6 linked regions of the Canis lupus familiaris genome follow. The protein of the gene in region 6 interacts with the protein of the main gene of each other region in a pairwise test. Links are inferred from orthologs where the notes say so. Each region holds a gene or a part of one and is shown on either strand. Other genes may lie near its edges.

The links.
Region 1: the proteins of MAL2 (region 6) and NDRG4 interact in binary tests that used the Homo sapiens proteins (3 or more experiments, as listed by UniProt). The two-hybrid records come from large-scale screens. The link is inferred for Canis lupus familiaris from reciprocal best matches to the Homo sapiens genes MAL2 and NDRG4.
Region 2: the proteins of MAL2 (region 6) and SH3GL1 interact in binary tests that used the Homo sapiens proteins (3 or more experiments, as listed by UniProt). The two-hybrid records come from large-scale screens. The link is inferred for Canis lupus familiaris from reciprocal best matches to the Homo sapiens genes MAL2 and SH3GL1.
Region 3: the proteins of MAL2 (region 6) and PBX3 interact in a two-hybrid assay, tested with the Homo sapiens proteins (2 studies listed by BioGRID). The two-hybrid records come from large-scale screens. The link is inferred for Canis lupus familiaris from reciprocal best matches to the Homo sapiens genes MAL2 and PBX3.
Region 4: the proteins of MAL2 (region 6) and TPD52 interact in a two-hybrid assay, tested with the Homo sapiens proteins (2 studies listed by BioGRID and IntAct). The link is inferred for Canis lupus familiaris from reciprocal best matches to the Homo sapiens genes MAL2 and TPD52.
Region 5: the proteins of MAL2 (region 6) and PTPN9 interact in binary tests that used the Homo sapiens proteins (3 or more experiments, as listed by UniProt). The two-hybrid records come from large-scale screens. The link is inferred for Canis lupus familiaris from reciprocal best matches to the Homo sapiens genes MAL2 and PTPN9.

The regions. Positions count from the first base shown.
Region 1 is NC_049223.1:57,451,226-57,455,476, forward strand, and holds the start of NDRG4 (protein NDRG4), read right to left. Parts: upstream 2,801-4,251; 5' UTR 2,686-2,800; coding exon 2,649-2,685; intron 1-2,648. UniProt on the Homo sapiens protein: Contributes to the maintenance of intracerebral BDNF levels within the normal range, which is necessary for the preservation of spatial learning and the resistance to neuronal cell death caused by ischemic stress.
Region 2 is NC_049241.1:55,677,540-55,681,679, reverse strand, and holds the start of SH3GL1 (endophilin-A2), read right to left. Parts: upstream 2,801-4,140; 5' UTR 2,643-2,800; coding exon 2,598-2,642; intron 1-2,597. UniProt on the Homo sapiens protein: Implicated in endocytosis. May recruit other proteins to membranes with high curvature.
Region 3 is NC_049230.1:57,499,533-57,503,625, forward strand, and holds the start of PBX3 (pre-B-cell leukemia transcription factor 3), read right to left. Parts: upstream 2,801-4,093; 5' UTR 2,740-2,800; coding exon 2,540-2,739; intron 2,240-2,539; exon of another isoform or gene 2,148-2,239; intron 1,618-2,147; coding exon 1,544-1,617; intron 1-1,543. UniProt on the Homo sapiens protein: Transcriptional activator that binds the sequence 5'-ATCAATCAA-3'.
Region 4 is NC_049250.1:27,999,506-28,003,005, forward strand, and holds part of TPD52 (tumor protein D52), read right to left. Parts: intron 2,947-3,500; coding exon 2,845-2,946; intron 1,747-2,844; coding exon 1,720-1,746; intron 1-1,719.
Region 5 is NC_049251.1:38,823,878-38,827,877, reverse strand, and holds the start of PTPN9 (tyrosine-protein phosphatase non-receptor type 9), read left to right. Parts: upstream 1-1,200; 5' UTR 1,201-1,259; coding exon 1,260-1,322; intron 1,323-4,000. UniProt on the Homo sapiens protein: Protein-tyrosine phosphatase that could participate in the transfer of hydrophobic ligands or in functions of the Golgi apparatus.
Region 6 is NC_049234.1:18,780,767-18,785,060, reverse strand, and holds the start of MAL2 (protein MAL2), read right to left. Parts: upstream 2,801-4,294; 5' UTR 2,759-2,800; coding exon 2,627-2,758; intron 1-2,626. UniProt on the Homo sapiens protein: Member of the machinery of polarized transport. Required for the indirect transcytotic route at the step of the egress of the transcytosing cargo from perinuclear endosomes in order for it to travel to the apical surface via a raft-dependent pathway.

The sequences.
Region 1 (4,251 bases), on a different chromosome or scaffold from region 6:
GTCCGAGAGGATGGGAAGCTGAGGTCTCAGCAGAGTCCCCCAGAGGCACATCTCAGGGAGATCTGGATTGTGTGGAGAAGCCAGAAAAGGAAGTAAACCTCCTGGAAGAAGAGACCCCAGGACACTGAGGAGCGGGTCATGGACATCAGCCCCACAGCTGCTGCCATTTGCTGAGCACGAGCCGGACACTGTACTCAGCGTTCACGCTCTCACGGCTAACTGCGGAAGAAAACACAACCAGGTGGGTACCACGACGATCCCATTTTACAGATGGGAAAAAGAAATGCAAAGCAGCTCCAAGGCTGGCCAGAAGCCAGGCAGTCTGCACACGAGATGACTCAGGGCTCAGGGCTGAAGCTGGGCTCCACCTCTCTCCAGCTGTAGGAAGAAGTGATCTCACGGGGTAGGGGGCGTGGTAACAGAGGGGAGAATGCGAGAACTAGAACAGCTGGAGAAACAGATTCAGCAAACAGGTTTAATGAAACAACTCCCTACTGCTGCCATGGGGCGGGGGGAGTCACAGGCCTCTAAGAAGGTATCCTGGAGACACATGCGATGGGTGGGAGATGTGAGCCTGGACCGAGTGGACGATAATGGAGCGGTTGCTGTGTGCCGCCACAATCTTCGGGCAGGAGAAATGGGTCAACGTCTCACAGGTGCAGGTGAGCAGGAACAATGGGCAGGGGAGAGGGACAGATCCAAACCTCCTAGTGGCCAACCAGCCAGAGGAGGGGGGAGGTTCTCCATTATAGGACCAGCCAAGACCAAGGAACCAGGAAGGTGAAGCCCAGAGGTGCCCACCGGGGCCAGGCCCCTCACCCGTGCGACCTCCGTAAGCCTCAGGCCAACTCTCAGAGGGAGGGGTCGACAGTTCCACCTCTAGGACAAGAAAACTGAAGCCTGAGAGCTTAAGCAAGCTTTCTGAAGTCACACAACTGGCCAACAGTGGGATGGGGATTTGAACCCCGGTCCGTAGGACAGGAATGAGTTGGAAGTATGGCTGCAAAGACCACGCACGAGGCAGAGACTGAAGGGACACACTGAATCCCGGGGCCTGGTGAGGAGTGCAAGGGGGTGGGAGACAGTGCCCAAGGGGCTCCCGTTCCAGGTTCCAGCCTACTGGGGGTCAGAGAGTCTGTCAGCATTGGGCAAGTCTGTCTGATGAGGGAGGAGAGGCCTTGACCCCTGTACTCAGGAGACAAAGGCACATCACACTGCACGAGGTAGGAGGGTAAAGCTGGGCCCCCACTGGAGCGTCCAGACCCGCCTCCCAAGAGCATTCTTCCTCCAGGCCCTTCTGGGACCAAAGAAGAGAAGGGGAGGATCCAGAAGTTCTGCCTTCCATGTAGGGCTCTAAACACCCGAGCGGTTGTAAAAACTTTTCCCTCAAGGGCACTGGCAAGTGCAGTGTCCTGCCGGCTGGCCTGCCTCAGGCTGGCCTGCCTCAAGCGAGCTCTACAAGGAAAAGCTGGCAAGGGACTGGAGGGCAGGTCAGCCCCGCTGCTCTTGGGCTCAGGTGCGGCACTGCTGAGCACCTGGCCAGATTTTCCCCCCGCTTCACAGCAGCCCCCCATCCCTTGTCCGTGAGTCTTTCATGAGCTGCAGGTGAGTTAGCTCTCTCACAGACCAAAACCTCAGCAGACCTCATTCCTCCAGCCCTTGCATCACTCCCAGGGCCCTTGTGTAAGCGGGTCCCCCCGCCCCCAGCCTGGAATGCCACCTCTCTCTCCAGTAATAGAAATCCTCTCTTAGGAAATCCTAGCGTTCCTTAGGATCCACTTCTAACATTGCTACATGCTCAAATCTCTCTGCTCCCCTCCAGTGCCCTCAGACTTCAATCTGTTTCCTGAGTCTACCCCCACCATGCTGTCCCCTTCCCTGTAACAGGGTTCTTGTGCTCTGTTCTCACACACCAGACAGTTAAGGTCCTGGGGGTCAGAAACCAAAGCCTTCCAGGTGCCAGAGGACATGCACGGGACTCCACATATCCACACAGTGCACACTGAGCACCTCCACCTGCCGTGGGGTTGTGGGTGGGGAATGATGGTGCTCCAGGGGGTTTCCCTTTCTAGCCCCTTCCTCATGAACCTCTCTGGGACCTCAGGGCTGGGGGAGCTTTCCCACCTTTCAGATGCCAGGTCCCCCATCCCTGCTCTGTTTCCTGCCTCCACTTCTGGGCATACTCAAGCATCCTCTGTAGATCTCCAGCCACAGCAACCTGGATGCGGTCTCCAGCAGGGGTGTCCCACTGCTTCTCCAGAGGGATCCCAAGGCTGAGGGTCCCATCTGGTTTCCCACTTCCCACACCACTTGGCCTCTACTCCCAGGAATAAACTTCTGCAAGGGAGAGGCGCTCAGTTGTCACAGGGAGCAGGAAATAAGAGGCCTATGGCCGGGCTCCTGTGCCGGCAGGGCCACACTGGGTGGAGGGCTCGGGCTGCTGGGGGACTCTGAGCGGACTGGAGCAGAGCCAGGCGGGCGCAGCCCCACGTCTCCTCCCGGCGCCGGGCTCGCACCAGCGGGCGTCCGCACCCTTTCCTCTGGTTCGACCCGAGCAGCCCCGAACCCCGAGCAGCGCGCCGGGCTCCCGCTCCAACTCGGGACGCCGCGGGAGGCGAGGGCCGCGCCCCGGGCCGGGCGGGCGGTACCTGTCAGCAGTTCGATCCTGTGTCCCAGCACCTTCATCCCTGCGCCGCGGCGGGGAGCGCGCTCGGCCCGGCCGGAGAGGAGTCGGGAGGCGAGGAGGGAAGCAGCTGCGGAGCCGGGAGCGAGGCGGGCGGAGCTGCCGGGAGCCTGGAGCGCTCTCGCCGCCCCCCTCGCCGCGCTCCCCCCTCCGAAACGAGTTAAAAAAAAATCCAACAATTGCACGACCGCGCACCCCTAAAAGGCGCGCGCCGCCACCTGGTCGGGGTGAACTCCGGGAGGCGGAGGGGGCCGCGGGGTGGATGCGGGGTCACTCCCGTCGGCGGCGGAGGGCGAGCGGGGGGGGGGGGGCGTCGCGCTAACAAAGAGGCCCTGCCACCCGCGCCTCCCCCAGCGCGACACACGGGGGTCCCCGAGTCCGTCTGGAAAGGAGGGAGGGGGTGCCACCCTCGTAAGCAAAATGTGGCCCGCGCGAGGGGGCGCGTGGCTCGCGAGTCTCAGGTCTGCCGGGGTGTGGGGGGGGGTGGCCGCAGCCCCCGCGGGGGGAAAGGGGGCGGGAGGCGGGGAGACGGGCCGAGGGCGCCGCCGACTCACCGAGGGTGATGCGAGGAAGAGCGACGCGCAGGCGGGGAGCCGGGCCTGGGCGCGGCGGGTGCGGGTGCGGGCGCGGGTGCGGGCGCGGGTGCGGGCTCGGGTGCGGGTGCAGACGCGGGTGCAGGCTCGGGTGCGGGCCGCCGCGGCCGCGGGGGGGGGGCGGAGCCGGGCTGGGGGCGGTGCGCCGCGGGGGCGTGCCCACGTGGGTGTGGCGGGCGTGGGCGCTCGGCAGGCAGCGGGGACCCCGCGCCCCAGGCCGCCCCGGCCCCCCCGGCCCCGGCCCCGGCCCCGGCTTCCTCCTCCTGGGGCGGCGGGAGCGCCCGAGCCCCGCGGAGTCCCCGGGCGGAGCCGCAGCCCCCCTCCTTCCGCGGGCGTCCGGGGAGGCGCCCCGCCGCTGGCCCCCGCCCGCCCCCCTGCCCCCGGCCGCGCGGCGTAGGACCCCCGCGGGGGGGGGGCCTCCGTCCCGGTCTTTGTTTAGGTTCCCGACGGGAGCCCCCTCCGCCGCTGCCGCTCGCGCCCCACCTGCCTGGCGCCTGGGAGCCCGGCGGGAAAAGCCCAGGGCGGTCGGAACGAACCAGCAGCTCAGGGGCCCTGGAGCCTCGTCCAGTTTTCAGAGCCCCGGGGTTTCCTTGGAGGGGCTCATAGGGGCGGGGGAGGGAGTGATGGTTTCCAGGCAAAGATGTTCTGGGGCCCCAGGGTCCCGCTCGGTGCCTCAGGGCTCCTGCTCTCCTCAGTTCACCCTTCATTGTCTGAGCAGGAAGGGGGAGGGAGGACTGGCCTAGCCTTGTCTTCCTCGGGCTCACTCTGGTCTGGCCCAGTTGCTCTCGCCTGTCACCCCAAAGGAGGCAGCGCTGAAGTCCCTAGATAGAGTCCTACTGTAGGGAGCAGGAAAATTTGATGACCTGAAAGAATTTACTTGGTCAAGACGCTCAACAACAGTGCTTCTGGAGACAGGAGTTTGTGGAGGCCCACCCAGTGATCTTGGCCACCCATCCGCCTCTCTCGGATCACACA
Region 2 (4,140 bases), on a different chromosome or scaffold from region 6:
TATAAATGTCCCCACATTGTGCTCGCTTCGGCAGCACATATACTAAATGTCCCCACATCATTTTGTGTAAAAAGAATAGTATGTTTATCCTTATGGCAGATAAATGAGACCAGTGGCTAAAAGCATACTGCCTGTCCACAAGGTGAGAGTTCAACAGACGTTAACTACTGCCTTATACTTTTCAACAGCCAACCCTACTCTGAGGACAAAAGGATGAAAATGGGTGTACTGAGGATAAGAAAAGAATCACACAAAGAGATGGACACGTTTGGATAAACAACAGAGATGCTGGGGGCCTGTGGAAACTATTGCAGAAGAGAGTGGAGCACAGCCAGCATGATTCTTGAGAGCACAACTCAGCAGAGGATTTATCAAGAGTCCAAAACAGCCGCTCCCAGAGTAGGATGTGGCCATCGCAGCAATTCTTTGAGATGGGCCTCAGAATGGCGAGATCACAAATTGATCAGAACCAGCAGCTTATACTACACAGTGTTTTCCATTCCCTCACAGATTTGAATGCAGGGCACCCCCTACCACTGCCCCCTCAAGAAAAAGCTCTGGTGGCCAGTCTGAGCAGCCTAGCCAGTTCCTCTAGCAGAGTGTGCCTGCTTGGGACAGTATGGCCCTCCAGCATGGGCCTTGAGAGCTAGGGGTTGGGAGGAGGGGGCTTCTCCTGCAGGAGGGACTACATCAAGGTCCAAGACAGCAAGCACCATCCCCAGTTGCTCTGGTCAAGCCCTGGTGGTCTGATGCCTGTTGGGCAGGGTCCAACCCAGGGCCAGGTCACTTAATTCTACCCTGCTGGGACAAAGGGCTGTACTCTCAGCAATAATGCCAGAACCCCCCCGGATTAAGTGTTTCTTCCTCTAGGGGTTAGCCATCATCTGGGGTTTGCCCTAGATAAACACTAGCGTGGGGTCATGACTTTTTCCATCAAGGGGCAAAAGGTTCCAGCTGAGTTACTGTCGACTTATTTCTCTTCTCTCCTACTGAACTTTTCCAAATTGTGGGAAAAGCCCAGTTTGCCAGCAGGGCCCACACAATCCCTAAGATGGTCGCTCATTCCTTCACGGATTCTATCCACACAAAGTGCCCACCTACGGTTCTTAATCTGGGATGCGGGGATCAAGAGGATTCAAGAAATCTGGGGCTTCGTGGATCTGAAACTATAAACTGAATCTCCCACTTGCTCCAGCTTTCTGGAGAGTGGATCCACAGCTTTCACCAGATTCTTGAGCAATGGGGCCGGGACATTCCAAAAAAACAAAACAAAAAACAACAAAAAACCACCCTATACTTACTTGTCACGTCTAAAAACATACATACTCTCGGATTCAGCATTCTCCTTCTGGGAATTTATCCTATAAACCCAATCCCACCTCTGAGCAAAGATATTCACTGGCTATTCATTGTGTGTAGCACAAACTGACAGGAAACGATCCACACATACATCAACAGATGACTGGTCAAAATTTAACCAATCCCCCAAAGATGACTGGAATATCAACACCCATTAAGAAGATCAAAGAGAGGGGATGGGGGGATCAGCGGTTTGGCGAGCCTTCAGCTCAGGGTGTGATTGCGAGTCCTGGGATCAAGTCCCACATCGGGCTCCCCGCATGGAGCCTGCTTCTCCCTCTGCCTGTGTCTCTCTCTCTCTCTGTGTGTGTCTCTCATGAATAAATAAATAAAATCTTAAAAAAGAAAAGAAGATCAAAGAGACTCTAGGGGTATGCTCCAGGGCAGTGGCTCTGGGGTGGGGGCAGAAGGGGACGTTTGGTAGCAGGGGGAGGTATGTGTGGTGTCAGGATTGGGGGGGGGGGGTGCTCCTGGCATCAAGCGGGTGGGGCCAGGGATGCCCCTCATCGCCCCCACAGTGCCCAGGACAGCGCGGTCTGAGGCGGAGAATTCCAGCTCTAGCATTATCTCCGAACACATGGAACGGAAAACCGAAAAAGCCGAAGTACAAAGGGCTACACAGGCCACGGTACCACCGTGTGCGTGTGCGTGTGCGTTTTTCTAGGAAAGGTGTAACCGATCTTCGGAAAAGATGCCGGTCCTTGCCCCTGGGGAGAGGGGCTGGATGCCCCGGGGGACTGGAGGCGGAAGCGGGGCTTTCCCCTCCACCCTTTCCCAACTTTGTAGCGGGTCCATCAAAAGGGGTTTTCGTTTGTTTGTTTTGGAGAACGACTGCGGACGCCAAGTTTCCCTGCCCCCGGGCTCTCTGGCAGGAGTCCTGTGTCGACAGCCTCAGGGCAGTGTCTTCCTCGCCCGCTCCGGGCCCGTCTCCGCGAGGGAAGGCGACGGCGTCCGGGTCCGCGTCCCGGGTCCGCGTCCCGGGGCGCCGCCGCCCCTCCCCGGGGTCTGCCCACCCTCCCGGGGAGACCCGAGCCCACATGGCGGGCGGGCCCGTGAGCCGCCTCGTCGGCAGCCCCCGTCCCTCGCGGGTGGGAGACCCCCTCAGCGGACGCCGCGCGCCAACGCCGCGCCTCCGGAGCCGGCGGCCCCCTCACGAGCCCCGTCGGGCCTGGCCGGGTCCCCGACTCCGCACAGCCTGGGGGCGCGGCGCCAGCTCCCCCGCCTCGGCCGCCGCTCACCTGGCTCGCCTTGTAGAACTGCTTCTTCAGCCCCGCCACCGACATGCTGCCTCCCGCCGTAGGGGCTCCCGCCCGGACCCAGCGAACCGGAGGGACCGCGCAAGCGACAGGCTCCCGGGCGCCGCCGATACCCCGCGCGCCTCAGCGGGCCCCGTCGGCGCTGCCTCCACCGCGCTCTCGCCAGCTCCGCGCCCGCCCCGGCGCCGCCTCAGGCCCCTCGCGCGCCCGCGCGGCCAGGATATTACATGGCAACCGCACACTTCCGGTGCCGGCCTGCGCGCGCCCCCGGCCCCGACCGCGCACGCGCGCCCCCTGCCGGCCGGAGAGCGCACGCGCACGTCTTGCCCTCTCCCCTCCCCCCCCGTTGAGGCCGCCTCCGACAGCGAGCCGACGGGAACGAGCCTAGAGAGACCCTGGAGGCTACAGCGCCTCCTGGCGGCCCGGAGGTAGTCCTAGCGTTTTAGGAAAGGCGCTTAAATCCTGGAGAGGTTGGGAGGCTGGGTCTGTAAATCAGACGTCGTTCGCTAATCTCAGCCGACCCAATTCTCTGTGCATTTAGTCCCTTCCACACGCACCGCCTTCAGCCCTGCCACGTGCTCATCCATTTAGTTGCCCTAGTACGACATCAGGGTGTCCCTTTATTGCTTTTCTATCCCCCTGGCCTCCCTGCCCAGGCCAGACTATCGCACCCAGTCTCCTCGCTGGTATGCCCACCTGCAGGTTCCCCCTCCAATTATCCCCCTTAAAAATACTCAGAGGGACGCCTGAGCGGCTCAGCGGTTGGGCATCTGCATTCGGCTCAGGGCGTGATCCCGGGTGCAGGGATCAAGTCCCATGTCGGGCTCCCCGTGAGAACCCTGCTTCTCCCTCTGTCTGAGTCTCTGCCTCTCTCTGTGTGTTTCTCATGAATAAATGAGTACATTCTTAAAAAAAAAAAAAAAAAAAAAAAAAGGATGCTCTATAACAAAATGTATACCACATTAGTCTACTATCTTCACAATACACTCTCAACTTCGTAGCATGGCCTACAAAGCTTACAGATTTTGGCTCCATCAACTCTTCTGACTTCAGCTCTCTTCCTCTTCTATAACCCATGATCCCTGTTTCCTGTGGGCCTTTGCTAAGGTTGTTCTTTTCTGGCACATTTTCCCCCAATCTCCCCCCCCCCGCCCCCCATCCTTTGTGCATAAAAGAGAAATCTGTTGGGAATGTCACCTCTTTCAGGAAATTCTCTCAGTTTTACACATGTTAATTGATTTTTGTTTTTTATATCAATTGTTATTGAATTAACTGGAAGTTCGATTCTGGAGACCCAGGATCGAATCCCACATCGGGCTCCTGGTGCATGGAGCCTGCTTCTCCCTCTGCCTATGTCTCTGCCTCTCTCTCTCTCTCTCTCTGTGACTATCATAAATAAATAAAAATTTAAAAAAATGTTTAAAAAAAAAATGGGATCCCTGGGTGGCGCAGCGGTTTGGCGCCTGCCTTTGGCCCGGGGCGCGATTCTGGAGACCCAGGATCGAATCCCACGTCGGGCTCCCGG
Region 3 (4,093 bases), on a different chromosome or scaffold from region 6:
TACTGAGAATTGTACACTTTTAGGCTTCTAAACTAAGAATCTTCAAGATTTAATGTTTGATGTCTCATTTTATAGTCAGACAAAAATTATCTACCATTTTAAATCACAATGCTTCCTAAAGGTGGCTAAAAATCAACACAAAGTTAGTAATTTAAAATGCCTGTAGTTTTCAAAATGTAAAATGTTATCTTAAAAAGAATCACTCAGCATTTACAAACCATGAATGCTATGTGAATGAGAAGCAAGAAAACTGTTCTTTAAAGATCTCAATATTTTCTATTAATTATGGTTTCAGTATACATTTTAATAGATAGCAATAACCCATCATCTTCTCTTGATTACTTTTAGAATTAGAATAGCACTGAGTGTGAAAAATCTACTTAAAGGGATGGCAATACTCCTACCAACTAACAAGTATATTCAGTGTACTATCATTTGTACACTTGATTTAAATACAATGACATTTAATCTTTTAAAAGCATCACTTGGATATTGCTATATCCTGGATTTTAACTTTCTCTTCTCTGCCTCAACTTAAAAAACAGCAACTTTATAATACCATATAGCTACCACACACACACACACACACACACACACACAAGCACGCACCCCAGACAAATCAACAGTAAAGCTTGTTTAATGCACTTGTTTGCCATAATACAGGGCAGATAACGCCAAATCCGAACTAAAGCACCTAAATTAAATTTCTGATTCCACTTGAGTTATCACCTCAAAACTAAAATACCTTTAATTTTAAAAAGCCTAACAAGAAAATTCAATTGAAATGAACTGTCAGAGACTCATGTTTTTGTAGTTTTTATTCCAGCACTTCTGTCAAACCTGTCTTTCTCATATGTTCCCTGCACTGAACACTTCAAAAATTGTGTAACCTGCTGTGAACCTTTTTCTACTTTCTAAAACATATTAAACGTATTTACAATGTAATGACTTCAAACATAAAATTTAATGAAAGTAATAGGTGTAATACATTGTGTATGCCTAAACACATCATTACCCTTTCCTGCTTCTTAAAAGTAGCCTTTCCAACTAAAACCCTAATCCAGACATCCTCCTGGAGTCTGTTCAATTGCATCTATCTGCGGAGCTGAAGCTTACTTAGGGTGTCTAAGTAAAACAAAGTTAGGAGATGCTTCTCCCAGGGACTCGGTCCCTGGCATCCAGTCTCCCGTTGCTCCTTTTAAAAACTGACATACAAACAAGGCGAAAGGAGCGGGAGAAGGCAAGGCGGCTGGCGCTCGGCTCGTGGGGGGGGGCCCCTCCCTGCCTGCAGCCAGGGGCGGCCGCCTGGGGACAGCGACCCAGCCCCGTCCGCATCTACACTTCATTTTATACCAGGGGCGGAATTGAGAAATCGACTCCAGCAGATTTATTGCAGTTTTTCCTCAAGACCAGGAGGTGGGAAGGAGAGAATGATCAAAGATGGCGGTGCCCAAAAGCAGCAGCTCTCAACTGGAGAGTGGAAGGAGTAGCTCTGACCCCACCTCGGGGGTCTCCAGGCCCGCTGCGGGGCGCAGCCTCTTACCTGTTTTCTCTTTGATCTCACACAGGACGCTGAAGAGCGCAGGTTTCATTCTGTGACAGTTGAGAGCATGTTTCCTAAAAGACAAATCGCAACATACAAAGGTATTAGCATCACCTATGGAATAATATGGCGCCTTCCTTTAAGTTCGACCCAAGATTGAATCCCGGCCCTCTCTTTTGGAAGGCTCGCCTGGAACCAGGGCAAGTCAACAGAAACTCAAGTTGACTAGTTAGCGAAAGCCCGCAAGCTCGGGCGGCTCAAGCTCCAGCCCGTTCGAGGCGCGACCCATCCGTCCGGCGGGCGGCCGCCTCGGCGACCGCAGGGCGCGAACCCGAGCGGGGCGCCTCGACAGCCGAGCGGAGCCCTGCGCCCCGAGGGAGGGGACGGCGCGGACCGGCTCCCGCGTCCGCCCTCCGCCCTCCGCCCTCCGCAGGGGGAGCGGGCGCTGCGGCGGCGGCCGGCCGAGCGCGGCCAGCGGGCGGTGACAGCCCGGCAAAGTTTGCGAGGCGGCCCTCCCTCCCCGAGAACTTGGCCGCCCGCACCCGGACGCGCCAGGGAGCCGCCCGGCACCCCGCGCCCGCCGGGCTGGGGCGGCCGCCCGCACCGCGAGGCCGTCCGGCCGCCGAGGGACGCCCGGCGCCGCGACTCCGGGCGGGGGGAGAAAGTTGCACTTCCCGCGAGCGCGGCCCGGGGCCCTCTCGGGGCAGCGCGCGCGGGGGCCGGGCGGGAGCTTGGAGTCCGCGGGAGGGGGCCGGGCCGCGGGAGCGCCGGACGCGGGAGGCGGACCACCGGGAACCCGCGGGCACCGCGTCCGTCCCGAGCCCCGGGACCAACTTTGCCGACTCCCGCCCGCGTCGGGGGGGGCGGGCAGGGCCCCCGGCGGCCCCGGCAGGCAGGCGGCCGGTCTGCGGAGAAAGTTCCCCGCCCCCGGGGCCCCGACTCGGCCGCGGGCCCGGCTCCCGCACGCACACAAAAGATGCTTAATGAGACACCAACTTTGCTTGCGCCTCGTCCAAGCTCTGGTCGGTGATGGTCATGATCTGGTGGAGGATGTCGCCGATGTCCTGCTTCCTGCCGTCGCCGTCCGCCCCTTCGTGGCCGTGCGGGGGAGGCGGCAGGGCCATGCCCCCCTGCACCGAGTGGCCGGCCAGGTTCACCCCGGCCAGAGTCTGCAGCATCCTGGATTGATCGTCCATCCCGCCGCGCGCGGGCGGGAGCGGGCGGCGGCGGCGGCTACGGCGAAGGCTGAGGCGGCGGCGGCGGCGGCGGCGGCGGCGGCGGCGGCGGCGGCGACGAGGGAGGAGAAGAAAGAGGGGGAGGGGGAGGGGAGGGGGAGGGGGAGGCGGCCGCGCGCTCCCCGCCCGCGCGGGGAGGGGGCGGCCCGGCCGGCGGGGCTCGCGGCTGAGGCGGCGCGGACGGGCGCCCGGCTCCGGCTTCCGCCGCCGCCGAGGCTGAGGAGAAGCGCCGGGCGGAAGCGCCGGGCTCCGCGGCGGTGGCTGTGGCGGTGGCGGAGGCGGAGGCAGCGGCGCCCGCTGCCCTCACGCGGCCGCCGCGCCGCCTCCTCGCCGCCGCGCGCCCCGCCGGGCGGCCCCGCGCAACTTGCTCCTCAGAGCCCGCCGAGTTGCCGGGACGCCCGCCGCCCCCCTCCCAGCCCGCGCACTCCCCTCCCCCGGCCGCCGCCGCCGCCGCCGCCTCGGCCGGGCGGGATCCGAGCCCCGGTGGCCCCGGGGGAGGGAGCGGCGGCGGCAGGCGGCGGCGGCGGCGGCGGCGGAGGAGGAGGAGGAGGAGGAGGAGGCCGGCGGGCGGGCCGAGGGGAGCGAAGGGGGCGGAGGAGGAAAGTTTGGGAGCGGGCGGGCCGGCGCAGCGGGGCGCGGAGCCCAGTGGAGGGCCCCGGCGGGCCGCGCGCCGGGCGGACAGCAGACTGTGGGGCGGGAGGAGTCGCCGCCGCCGCTGCCGGAGCCGCGCGCCCTGCCAGCCGCCGCCGCGAACCGGGCTCGGAGGCCGCTCGACTGAGGGATTGACAGGCTGCCAGTGCCACTCACTCACTGCGGCCCCGGCGCCGGGGGGGAGGGGCGGGGGCGGGGGGGGGCGGGCAGCGCGCCGCACGCCCCGCCCCCGAGGGCGGCGCGCGCGCTCATTGGCCGCTGCGCCTCCCGCCGCCGCCGCTGGCGCCTCCCCCGAGCCGCGGCCCGGCCTCTCCGGCCTCGGGTCCCCAGCGCCCGGGAGCGCGCCGCGGTCTCCTCACGCCTGCGTGCGTCCTGGGCCCGCCAGAGCAGCCGCCCCGGCCTGCAAGCGCTCTGCCCCGCGCCCGCCCGGGCTCCTGGCCGCTGCTGTGCACAGTCCCGGGTGCGAGGAGTCGCGTACGGGACACGGGGCAAGTCGCTCCAAAGCCCCCCGTGTGCCCGCCCGCAGCGCCGCGCGCTTCACGCCTAGGGCAGCGCCTGGCACGCTTTCCCGCCCTCGCCGTCAGGAGGTGGTCCCCTCGGGGTTCCGCTGCCCGTCCCAGGCCAATCGTGCTGCGCTCGGAGCCGAACGGGGCGGGACAGAGGC
Region 4 (3,500 bases), on a different chromosome or scaffold from region 6:
CCTGGCCAATTAATAAGACATTTGCTTAATCTTCTTAAACACATAGAGAATAGGGACACATACTAATGAGTCATTCCTCTATAGCACTTACATAAATATTCTTGCATTTTTGTTTATATCACATCTAAAACTGTTTTATATAATCCAGTGTTAACAGGGCTCTTCCACCTTAACTTGTTCCTAGTCCCTGCTTCTTTCCCCCACTCCATCCACTCAAAGATTTTTAAGGTCTTTCCGTACAAGAAGCAGATCTGTTTTATGGTTCTATTCTTTGGACCTGCCCACAAAGTGCAGTCTAATGTTAGCAGGATGGATTATGAGACTGAATACCTGTTCACACACAACTCACAGACAACCTTAGATAAAATGGTCTTAATTAACAGTTGCCTAGATCACTTAGGACGTTTTTTTTTTTTTTTAAATACACTTTTTTTTTTTAATTTTTATTTATTTATGATAGTCATACAGAGAGAGAGAGAGAGAGGCAGAGACACAGGCAGAGGGAGAAGCAGGCTCCATGCACCGGGAGCCCGACGTGGGATTCGATCCCGGGTGTCCAGGATCGCGCCCTGGGCCAAAGGCAGGCGCCAAACCGCTGCGCCACCCAGGGATCCCACTTAGGACGTTTTTAATTGAATACCAAAGATACAGTATCACCTCCTATTAGTGATTTTTTTTTTTTTAAAGCACAGGTTTAACTTTAAATAATTCAGCTTTTAGAGTTGACACATCCCTATGATTTACTCTGACTTCCAGGGCCAAGTGTCAGTAGGGCAGAAAGACCTCAGCTCTAAGTACATATTCCCTTACTTAAGAAGACAGACTACCACAAATGACTGCTTGAGAAGACAATCTGCCTTCATAGGAACAGGTGTGGAGACTACCAATGCTGTCTTTCCTGCTTATACTCTAAAGACCTTGCTCCAACTTCATTTTCTCAACTAATTGGATACACAGTCTGTATGGGAGACAGAGAAGAGGTTTGTTCAACATCACAAAGATTCCTTCTTCTCTAAGGCATGGTTTGGACTGACATCTTTTTAATGTGCTTGTTTTTTAGCCTAAGAGATTATTTTTCTTTTGCAACCATGAAATTTCTTTACATGTACACTTAAAGAATATAATGTATAGAGAAATTAAAGGATAGTAAAAACTATACGCTAACAAAGCAAGTAGTGAAAAGTGCAGAGTAATGGTATATTTTACTTTATGTATATTTTACCACAATAAAAAAAAATATCCAGAGTAACCTGTATAAGATGGGAGACTAACATCACGAGGCGGGACATATGCAGTCTATTACAGATACATAATGAGACCCAGGTGAAGAATTCCAACATCCTGACAAAAGCACCAAAGAAATTAAAGCATCAAAAACAAACAAAGTCAGACATTAAAAGGGAGGAATTCTGTATGCCATGGTTAAGCTGCTTCTTTTTCCCAAAAAAAAAAAAAAAAAAAAAAAAAGTAAGAAACATCAAAATCATTTCCATATCCCTAAACCACAATGTCAAATTATTCTTTTAATTTATCCATTACCCCGGGTATACGAGAAATCCTCCCTTAGAAATAGGTATGCACTAGAGAAAGATATTCCAGATGCAAGAAAAGTATGTAGTGGACAAACACAATCATCCAACGTGGCATAATAATCTAATTAAGCACACTTGTCTTAGACACCACCGGCTAAGCTGCAGGGATGGTTCAAGCTCTCCTTACCTAAAGGAATGTGAAAAGGCTTGCAATCTGCAAGAAGCCGCAGTAAGCATTAAAAAAGAAAGGAAGTTCTGGTAAATCTAAAACAATGAAATTACCTGTTTAAAAGTTGTGTAAGGTTTTAACTGGACTTCCAAAGCGCTATACAGTCAAGTTGGCAAAAAAAGAAATGAGAACACCTACGAGATGTCTATAAACTGTCAGAAGAATCCAAGTAAGCTATGTTTATTACACAATGCTTAGAATGATGATAGTCCAAATATAATAAGCAAGTCATTTTTTTTTTGGTACAATGTATAATACATTTGATTGCCAAACTTATTCAACCAACAAAATTCTGGTTGTAAAAGCTACATTCCCCACAAATGAAAAACACAAAGTCATGCAATCTGAGGGTTTTGTTGGTAAAACAAAATAACTTTCATGCCAACAGAAGCACAGAAAATTTAAACCATGTTTCTCACTTTCAGCGCTATTCTAATCAACATAGGGGAGGAGGGCAGGGGAGACACACAGAAGCACCGTGAAGTGGTTTTATCAAAATTGCCACAAAAACTCTGCAGACTAATCTAAAATATAAATGCAAAATAAAAAGCAAAGCTCAATATCAAGATTTGGGCCTAAGCATGAATGTAGAGAGAGCTTACAAATGAGTACAAGTCAGTACACAGATGGGCATGTTGTAATCACACCACGGTTTGATGTAACCACAATGTAACACACAGAGCTGAAGGCAGGTCTTGGCCCCAGCGTGCAGTCAATGCTCCTGGACGTGTCCCCAGTAGGATCACAGGCTCAGCCCCCAACCACAAACTTGCAACTGCGAGAGATATACTTACCCTGCATGACCAGGAAGGACTAGAAGGATAGAAGTGCACAACCAGAATTTTCCAGCAACTTTAAATGTATTCATAAGATGATTATTTTGAACGCTATGTCTGAAAGTCAGAAAGCTACCCCTAAGATACTTTAGGCAATATTTCCCCTCTCCTGTTTTGAAGGAGTGGGCTCCCCTCAGTTGAAAAGAATCCGGCATCATCCACAGCCAAAGTCAGGAAACCAATGCAACCACAACATAACTTTAATTTGCCTCAGCTACTTAATGAGCAAGGAGAAATGAGGACATACTTTACGTCTTCCAGCTTTTTGGTGATGACTGATCCAACAGAGGAGAAAGCAGCTGACGCCTTCTGCCCAGCTTGAGATAAGGTTTCGGAAGTCTTTTTGTATCTACATTAAATTATAAAAGAACAGAACAAAGAAAAGTTAAGCTAACCTTTTCTAATAGTTATTTAAAGCATAATCACCACCTCTTGGAGAGCTCTCGAAAATTAAAATGATTTTGTTTTCAGAACATCCAATCTGCTTCACAACCACCAGGTTGGCATCATCACTTCACCTGATGCTTACCCCCTCATTCAGGCACGATCTTCTGCAGAGGCCTAGAAAGGCAGGACCAAGGAAATCAGGGTGAGGGGCAAACAATCATGAAGAAAAGATGAAAATGAGCCAGAGGCTGAAAGAAATTATACCTCTTCTTCTTCTCCACCAAAGCCAAACAAGACAAAAATGAAATCAAATTCTTCACGTGCCTTTTATAACTTAATCTCCTAAAAAGGGACCAGAAGCAAGGTAAGGCCCACATGTACTTTATTATTCAAATAAATTGTATGGGCTATAAAGAATTTTTTTTTAATTTCGCATGTCTGCAGAGCTACCAAATAAGGACTTGTAGACTCTCAGCAGAGTATGTAAAAGGTGTGACACTCAAGATAACTTTAGTG
Region 5 (4,000 bases), on a different chromosome or scaffold from region 6:
GAGGGTCGACCCGCTGCTGCTCCCCTGCGGGACTGAGCGCGGCTCCCGCTGAGGGCCGCAGGTGCGGGCGCCCGGGCGGCGGTCGGCGGTCCTCGGGGGCGAAGGGGGTGCGGCCTGCGGGCGCGGTGCCGCGGAACACCAGCCGCCTCCCCCGACCCCTGCGGCCCTCCCCCCCGCGGCCCTCCCCCCCAGACCCCCCCGCAGCCCTCCCTCCTCCCCTCCGCCCTCCTCCCGCGGGGTTACCCCCCCACCCCCGCAGCAGCCCTCCCTCTTCCCTGCGGCCCTCCCTCCTCCCCTCTTCCCCCTCCCCCAGACTTCTCCCCCACCGCCCCTCAGCCCTCCCTCTTCCCTGAGGCCCTCCCCTTGCCGCCCCCCCACCCCGTCCTTCTTCCCCTGCGGCCCTTCCCCCACCGCCTACCCCCCCACGGCCCTCCTTCCTCCCGCACCCCCCCCCCGCAGCCCTCCCTCTTCCCCGCGGCCCTCCCCCCTGCGGCCCCCCTCTTCCCTGCGGCCCTTCCCCCCCAGATCCCCCCGCAGCCCTCCATCCTCCACGCAGCCATCCCCCCTCCCCCCTACTCCCCCTGGGCCCTCCCCCCCGCAGCCCTCCCTCCTCCCTCCTCCGTCCCCCCGCCCCGCCCGGCCTCCCCCTCCCGGCGGGTCCGCCCCCGCCCCGCCCCGCCCCGCCCCGCCCTCCGCGCCGCCGCCCGTTTGTGAATGAGAAGCCGCTTTCTGAATGGAGCCGCGGGGCGTCGGGCGGGCGCTGCGGCGCGGGCGCTGAGCCCGGAGGGGGCGCCCAGTGCGCGGCGGGGGCGGGGCGGGGCGGGGCGGGGCGGGGGGCAGGGCCGCGGCCCCGGCTCGGGCGGGCGGCTGTGGGCTGTGGGGAGCTCCCGCCGGACCCCCGACCGCCCGGGGCGCTGCGGGCCGGCACCTCGGGGCGCGGGGCGGGCGCGTCCCTGCGGGAGGGGAGGGGCGCGGGGGGAGGGGCGGAAGCCGGGATTTCCGCCGAGCGGGCGGCCGCGGCCCTTCCTCCGGGAGCAGACGCGGCGTTGGCGGCCGCCCGGCCTCTCCGCCCGGCCTCTCCGCCCGGCCTCTCCGCCCGGCCTCTCCGCCCGGCCTCTCCGCCCCGCCATGCGCCGGCCGGGCCCGGGCTGCTGAGACGCGGAAGCGGCGGCCGCGGACCCCCGCCCCGCCCCGGCCCCGGCTCCGGCCCCCGCTCCCCGCTCCCCGCTCCCCGCTCCCCGCTCCCCGCTCCCGGCGGGATGGAGCCCGCGACCGCGCCCCGGCCCGACATGGCGCCGCAGCTGACCCCGGAGGAGGAGCAGGTAAGCGGCGGCCGGGGGGGCGACCCCGGCCCAGGACCCCCGCCCCCGCCCCCGCGCCCCTGCCCCGGCCGCGGCCCGCACGCCCCTCCCCCTCCCCTGCCCCCTGCCCACCCGCGGGCCGCACACGCCCCCCATCCTGCCCCTGCCCACCCCCCGCACCCCTACCCCTGCCCCCGCGGGCCGCCCCCGCCCCCCCCCGGTGGCATCCAAGTCCCCGGCCCCCCCCCCGCCCCCGGGGATGCTCGGCTCCTTGCCCCGACGGTCCGCGGCTCGGGCTCGGCGGGCACGGCCGGGGGGCGGGGGGGCTGCGGCAGCGTCTCGGCTCCCGGTGAGCCCGGAGGGTCGCCCCGCAGCCCCGCGGCCCCGCGGCCCATTGTCCCGAGAGCCCCGGCCCCGCAGTTCCCAGGAGGCGGCGGCTCGCGGCGCCCCGGGGCCGGGTCAGGGGGAGCCCGGGGCCCCGGCCGCCCTTCCCGCGCCCGCTCGCCGACCTCGGGGGCCCGGCGCTGCCTAGACCCGGCCTCGGGGAGGCTGCAAGGCCACGGCCGGATCTCACGTCGTTAAGAAAAAGAAACACACCCTGAACTAAGGAAAAGATGAACCGCACGGGCGCCCCGCGCCGGCCCAAGCTCCCGGGCCTGTCCCCAGGGACGCTCGCGGCCTCCGCGGTGCGCGGCGGGTTCCCCAGCCTCGTCCTAGTCGGTGGGCGCCGAGGCCCTCATGTCCAGAAGGTGCTTGACTCCTCTCCTCGTCCGGGGAGATGACATCTTCCGCATGTGGCCTCGGACCGCCGCCTTGCCTTGCCTTCTCACGCCTTGAGATAAAATCGGCATCGGGAGGGGAAAGAATAAAAGAATTCTGCTCCGTGCGAGCCGTGGTTACATCCTGGTAACTGCAGTTGAGATTCATAAAATGCTCGTCAGGGCCTAGCGCAGGCAGGTGGCCAAGGGGCCCGTCCACCCACAATTAGGGAAATAAATGCTTCGGCACTAAGGTATGATGCGTTAGGTTGATCTGATTTTATTTTATTTTATTTTACTTTATTTTATTTTATTTTACTTTATTTTATTTTATTTATTTTATTTTATTTATTTTATTTTATTTTACTTTATTTTATTTTACTTTATTTTATTTTATTTTACTTTATTTTATTTATTTTATTTTATTTTACTTTATTTTATTTTACTTTATTTTATTTTGCTTTATTTTATTTTATTTTATTTATTTTATTATTTTATTTTTTAATTTTTTTAAAATTTTTATTTATTTGTGATAGTCACAGAGAGAGAGAATGAGGCAGAGACACAGGCAGAGGGAGAAGCAGGCTCCATGCACCAGGAGCCTGACGTGGGATTCGATCCCGGGTCTCCAGGATCGTGCCCTGGGCCAAAGGCAGGCGCCAAACCGCTGCGCCACCCAGGGATCCCTATTTTATTTTATTTTATTTTATTTTACTTTATTTTATTTTACTTTATTTTATTTTGCTTTATTCTATTTTGCTTTATTTTATTTTGCTTTATTTTATTTACTTTATCTTATTTTATTCTACTTTATTTTATTTTATTTTACTTTATTTTATTTATTTTATTTTACTTTATTTTATTAATTTTTATTTTATTTTACTTTATTTTATTTTATTTTACTTTATTTTATTTTATTCTACTTTATTTTATTTTATTTTACTTTATTTTATTTTATTTTATTTTACTTTATTTTATTTTACTTTATTTTACTTTATTTTATTTTATTTTACTTTATTTTATTTTACTTTATTTTGCTTTATTTTATTTTACTTTATTTTATTTTATTTTATTCTACTTTATTTTATTTTATTCTACTTTATTTTAATTTTTTTTCATTAGGCTGACCTTAAAGAGGCAAAACGCATTCACTTCTTTTCATTGGATTAGTCAGATTTAGAGTTTCTATGTTTCTAATACTTCAAGGCATTAGTATTCCACTGCGACAATGGCACTAGGGTACCTATTAAAAAATTAAGACCAAGGAAAGTAGATATTTAAGTATTGTTAAAGTCAGTGCTTTAGTCTGCACAGAGTATATACATATACGGGTGTGTTTAGAAAAAAATCTTTTACAGTGAACAATGTGATGGGCATTAACAAGAACTGGATGGGAACAGTTAAATATTTATTTTTTTAAAGATTTTATTCATTTATTCATGAGACAGAGAGACAGAGAGAGAGACCAGCAGAGACACAGGCAGAGGGAGAAGCAGGCTCTATGCAGGGAGCCCAATGCAGGACTCGATCCCAGGACCCCGGTATCAGGCCTGGGCCAAAGGTAGACACTCAACCACTGAGCCACCCAGGGATCTCTTTTCTTAAATTTCATTTATTTAAAAGAATATTTTATTTATTTATTCATGAGAGACACACAGAGAGAGGCAGAGACACAGGCAGAGGGAGAAGCAGGCTCCCTGCAGGGAACCTGATGCTTTTAAATATTTATTAAGATCAACAAGGATAGGGACTCCTGGGTGGAGCCCAGGATCCAGTCTCACATCAGGCTTCCCTTGGGGAACCTGCTTCTCCCCCTGTATGTCTCTTGCTCTCTCTCTGGGTCTCTCAAGAATAAATAAATTAAATCTCTTTTTAAAAAAAAAGATCAACAAGGAATGTGGGTTTTTAAAAATCATATCGTTTCCTACAAAATGCCAAGTT
Region 6 (4,294 bases):
GAGATGGAACATGTTAAAGGAACCAGAAAGCTGGAGGGAAATTTAAAAAGCTGGGACCAAAGATACATCCAATGTGTTTACGTAGCTCATATGGGTGTATTAGATAGAGAGGTACCAAGGCAGCCTTGATCTCTGCTCTCTTATGGCGTATAATCCAGTATCTCTAAGCTGTATGGGAGGGTAAGAACCAAGCATGAGCTTATAGTTCAGCTCCAATGAGGTCTGTTGTTTCTCTGAGGTCACCAGCTTCATTGGATGATTTTGGTTCTTTTATTTTTGAAGGGGTGGGCTGAGGAGAAACAAGGATGATAGCCAAGTAAAAGAGGTAAGGGAGGCCTAGATTTTAAGTTATTACATATGTTTGGCATAAAAAAAATGAAGAGTAAACCAACATGGCTTTTGGAAGTGGTGCTATTCTATGTAGGTAAGGGTCTGAGACATGTTTCTGGAGTGAGAAGCCCTATGACATGAAGAAATAAGAGGAAAGGCTGGATAATTCTGTGAGCCTGGGTCCCTACTAGAATAGGGAAGGGGGAAAGCTCTCACACAGGGAGAAAATTCATATTTGCGTGAGGGCTGTCTTGTCCACAGAGCCCTGATAAAGGCCGCTCTTGGTGCTTCCCAGCCATGACTGTACACTAGAAGCTCTAGGGAGCTTTTAGAAGAAACTGGCTGACTCTGGGCACCCCCCCTCCCCCAGGAGATTCTGATTTAATTAGTCTGGGCCAGTCACCGTATTTTTAAAAGCTGCCCAAGTAATTAAGTACAGCAGAGTTGAGAACTAACTCCTGGGCCAGATAAAGAGATATGGGGGCAGGGGAGAGGAAACAGAGTAGAATGAAGCACTCCCACTTTCTCCCTCAGAATTAGGCAGCGTTTCCAAAAGTGTGATAAGACCACGGATGGTCCCTGAGACAGTATTTGATTTGACGGCACACGGATGAGCCTTCTTCGTATATACGTGTCATAGACACACACGTGTACCCTTACATCTCTTTACATATACACATACATATAAGTAAATATATAAATAGGTAGTTGAGTAAACATTAGAAAAATATACCCAGTGTATCAAATTTGAGGATTCACGGTATTATTGCTTAGAATGAGGCTTGAAGTGGGTACTAAAGTTTAGAAGTGAATTGAAGTGAACATTCTGTAAATTCTAGTACAGGTGGAATGTGGATTTGGCAAAAACTTGTAGAAGAGGTATGCAAACAAGCCGAGTTAGAGGAACATGGAACTAAAGCAGCCCAGAACTTATACAAGCTTCCTCCCCAGATCCTACTGTTCTGGGCGCATCTCCCCCACGCACAACAGCGCCCGGGCCCAGTGCCATCCTCTCCCTACTCTTCTCACATGGATGCCTGTACCTCATCCCAAGCGTTCAGATGCTTCTGAACTGGGCTCAGACTCAAAGCAGCCTCTTCCAGCCTCGCCGTCACGATCCGATTACTGATGTCGTAGCCTGTAACTCACTTGTCTCCTTTTTCAGATTCAAATCTGAGCTAAACTTAACCTAGCACGCCTTAGCCACCTTAGCATAATAGGGCAAGAAAACCAATGCTCGCAAGGCGTTCCAGCCCCACGAGCACAAAAGTGAAACTGAAGCTACCAAATCCAGGTTATGCAAACTCAAAGGAGCAGGTTAGGGAAGAGAGACGGAAACTCCACACGGGACCAAACAACATCAGCCTGCAGGAAGGGCAGGCACTTGCTATCGTTGCACTCTGGATCCGCCGTTCTCAGGGCCTGACGCAACCTTGGGTTGCCCAATTTATGTTTGCACATTTCCCCTGGTCCAAAAACTCCCAAGTCTATAAAATTGCCTTTAGAGAGTTTAAATCTCTGGCCCGATAAGGTTGCAGGCTAGGCCAGGTAACCTCACCGTCACCTGGGCCCAACGAAGTGTGCTGAGAAGGCGTGGGGCTGCCCAGGTCCACTAGGGAGCCAGAAGGTGCAAAGGCAGGCAGCGAGGAACTGGACAACCACGTTTCTACCTTTCCTCCACCACCGTCACGCCCACTTGATTAGAACCTGCCAAGGGCACGGTTCAGACTTGACCTTTTTCCCTGCTCTGCCTCCTAAACGCTGCTCCCCTCTCCAACTCAAAGGGCACTAATAATGGCAAAGGAGGAGGGGGGGTTGGCCTAGGTCTTAAGCCCGCCTCCCCTTCCTGCTACCTGCCCCCCCCCCCCCCCCCCCCGCGTCTTTTCTCGGCGAGGCGAGGCGGCCTCCAGGTCGCTCGGTCACCGGCGGCTACACCTCCGCACCACCCAGCAAGATGGCAGGTTAGCAACAGGCGAGGCCGAGGGCGCCTGCTCCAGCTCTAGCCAAGCCGCCGGGGGCTCCGGCCGTGCCCCGAGCCCAACACCCTCCCCTCCCCGAAGTGCCGATCCGGGGCCCCGCCGGGCCGCCCGATCGCTCCCGGGGGGCGGTCCCCGTGGCCAGCGGGGGCGCAGGTGCCCGCGTAACAGGTGCCAGGCGGTGGGCCCGGGCGGGGGCTCGCGGAGGGCGGGACCCCGGGGCGGCGCAGGTGCGGGCCACGTGGGAGCGAAGGGAGCGGGGGCGGGGGGCGGGGGCAGGGATGCGGCGGGCGCGCCGGTCACCGGGCCGCCCCACTTACAATCTCCAGGCAGACGAAGGCCCCCGAGTAGGTCCGCAGGATGTCCGGGCCGGCGGGCAGGGTGATGCGGGGCGCCGGGAAGGACACGGCGGGGTTCGGGGGCGGCGGGACTGGCGCTCCGCCGGCCGACATGCTGCCGCTGCCGCTCTGCGTCTCCGCCGCCGCCGCCCTCCCTCCGCCCGCCGCCGCCGCCGCCGGGTTCCCGCCGCCGCCGCCGCCGCTCGGGTCCGCGGGGTCCGGGCGCGCCGCGGGGAGGGGGCGTGGCCGCGCGGGGCCCCGCCCCGCCCCGCCCCGTCACGTGGGCCCAGGTGCGCGAGCCGCGGCCGCCGGGTCCGGGCGCAGGTGCGTTGGCCTCCTGGCGCGGTCCCCCCCGCGGCGCCGCGCTCCCCTGGTCTCTCCGCCCCCTGGTCTTCGTTTCAACCTGGTCTCTCCCCGCTGCCCTCCCCCCGCCCCGGGCCTCGCAACTTCCCTTCCCCACTTTCCTCGATTTAGCTGCAAGACGGGTCTTGAAGTTGTGACTCAGAAGGTAAAATCAAGGTCACCAGCCACACCTAAAAAGTGGAGTGGATCTGCCCTAAATGGGACTCTAGTGGGATTTTTTTATCTTTCTTTTTTTTTTTAATTTACTGTTTATTGGTGTTCAGTTTGCCAACATGCAGAATAACACCCAGGGCTCATCCCGTCAGGTGCCCCCCTCAGTGCCCACCACCCAGTCACCCGCACCCCCGCCCTCCTCCCCTTCCACCACCCCTAGTTCGTTTCCCAGAGTTAGGAGTCTTTATGTTCTGCCTCCCTTTCTGATATTTCCCACTCATTTTTTCTCCTTTCCCCTTTATTCCCTGTCACTATTTTTTATATTCCCCAAATGAATGAGACCATATAATGTTTGTCCTTCTCCGATTGACTTACTTCACTCAGCATGATACCCTCCAGGAGAGTCAGCTGGCTCAGCTCCAACATCCATTGGTGGTGGAGGCGAGGGGGATGCTGGACAGCTAACTGGCTTCTTTGGGTGCCGGTGGTGTGCTCATCTGTGAAATGGGGGCAAGGGTCTTTACCTCTTGGGATTGCCCAGATTACATGAACATGAAAAGAGCTTAGCTCATGGTAAGCGCCCTTCAATAGGCGCTGATAGGATGACTGCTATTTTTTTTAGATTTTTTACACATGCACCTATCATGCTCTTGTGTACACATGTTGTTGCATAGGCTGTATTTTCCGCATAAAACTTTAATTATTGATTTTACCTGTCTGAAACTTATGAATTGTCTCTTAGACACTTAAATGGATTTTCTTTTTTAAGGATGCTATGTATACTTTAGATTCCCTGCCCCAATTTATCCCCATTTTATCTTTGATTTTAAGGTCAACATTTTGTAAGTGAGATAAAGGATAGGAGAGTTAACCTTCTCAGAGATTAGCTGAATATAAACAAAAGTACACACACCAGCATACACAGGCAGAACAGGTTGGAAAAAAATATTACGTGACATCATCAGGCATCCTCCAAATACTGGTCTTGTCTATCAGTAGCCTTTAAAGAACTCTGTATAGCTCTATGCATTGGTCAGCAGATTTTAGCCGTTCTACCTCTTCATTATTTTAATAAGTGAAACTCATAGGTGTGGTGGCAAGAATAGGGCAAACCCCACAAAACAGGGTGTGGGT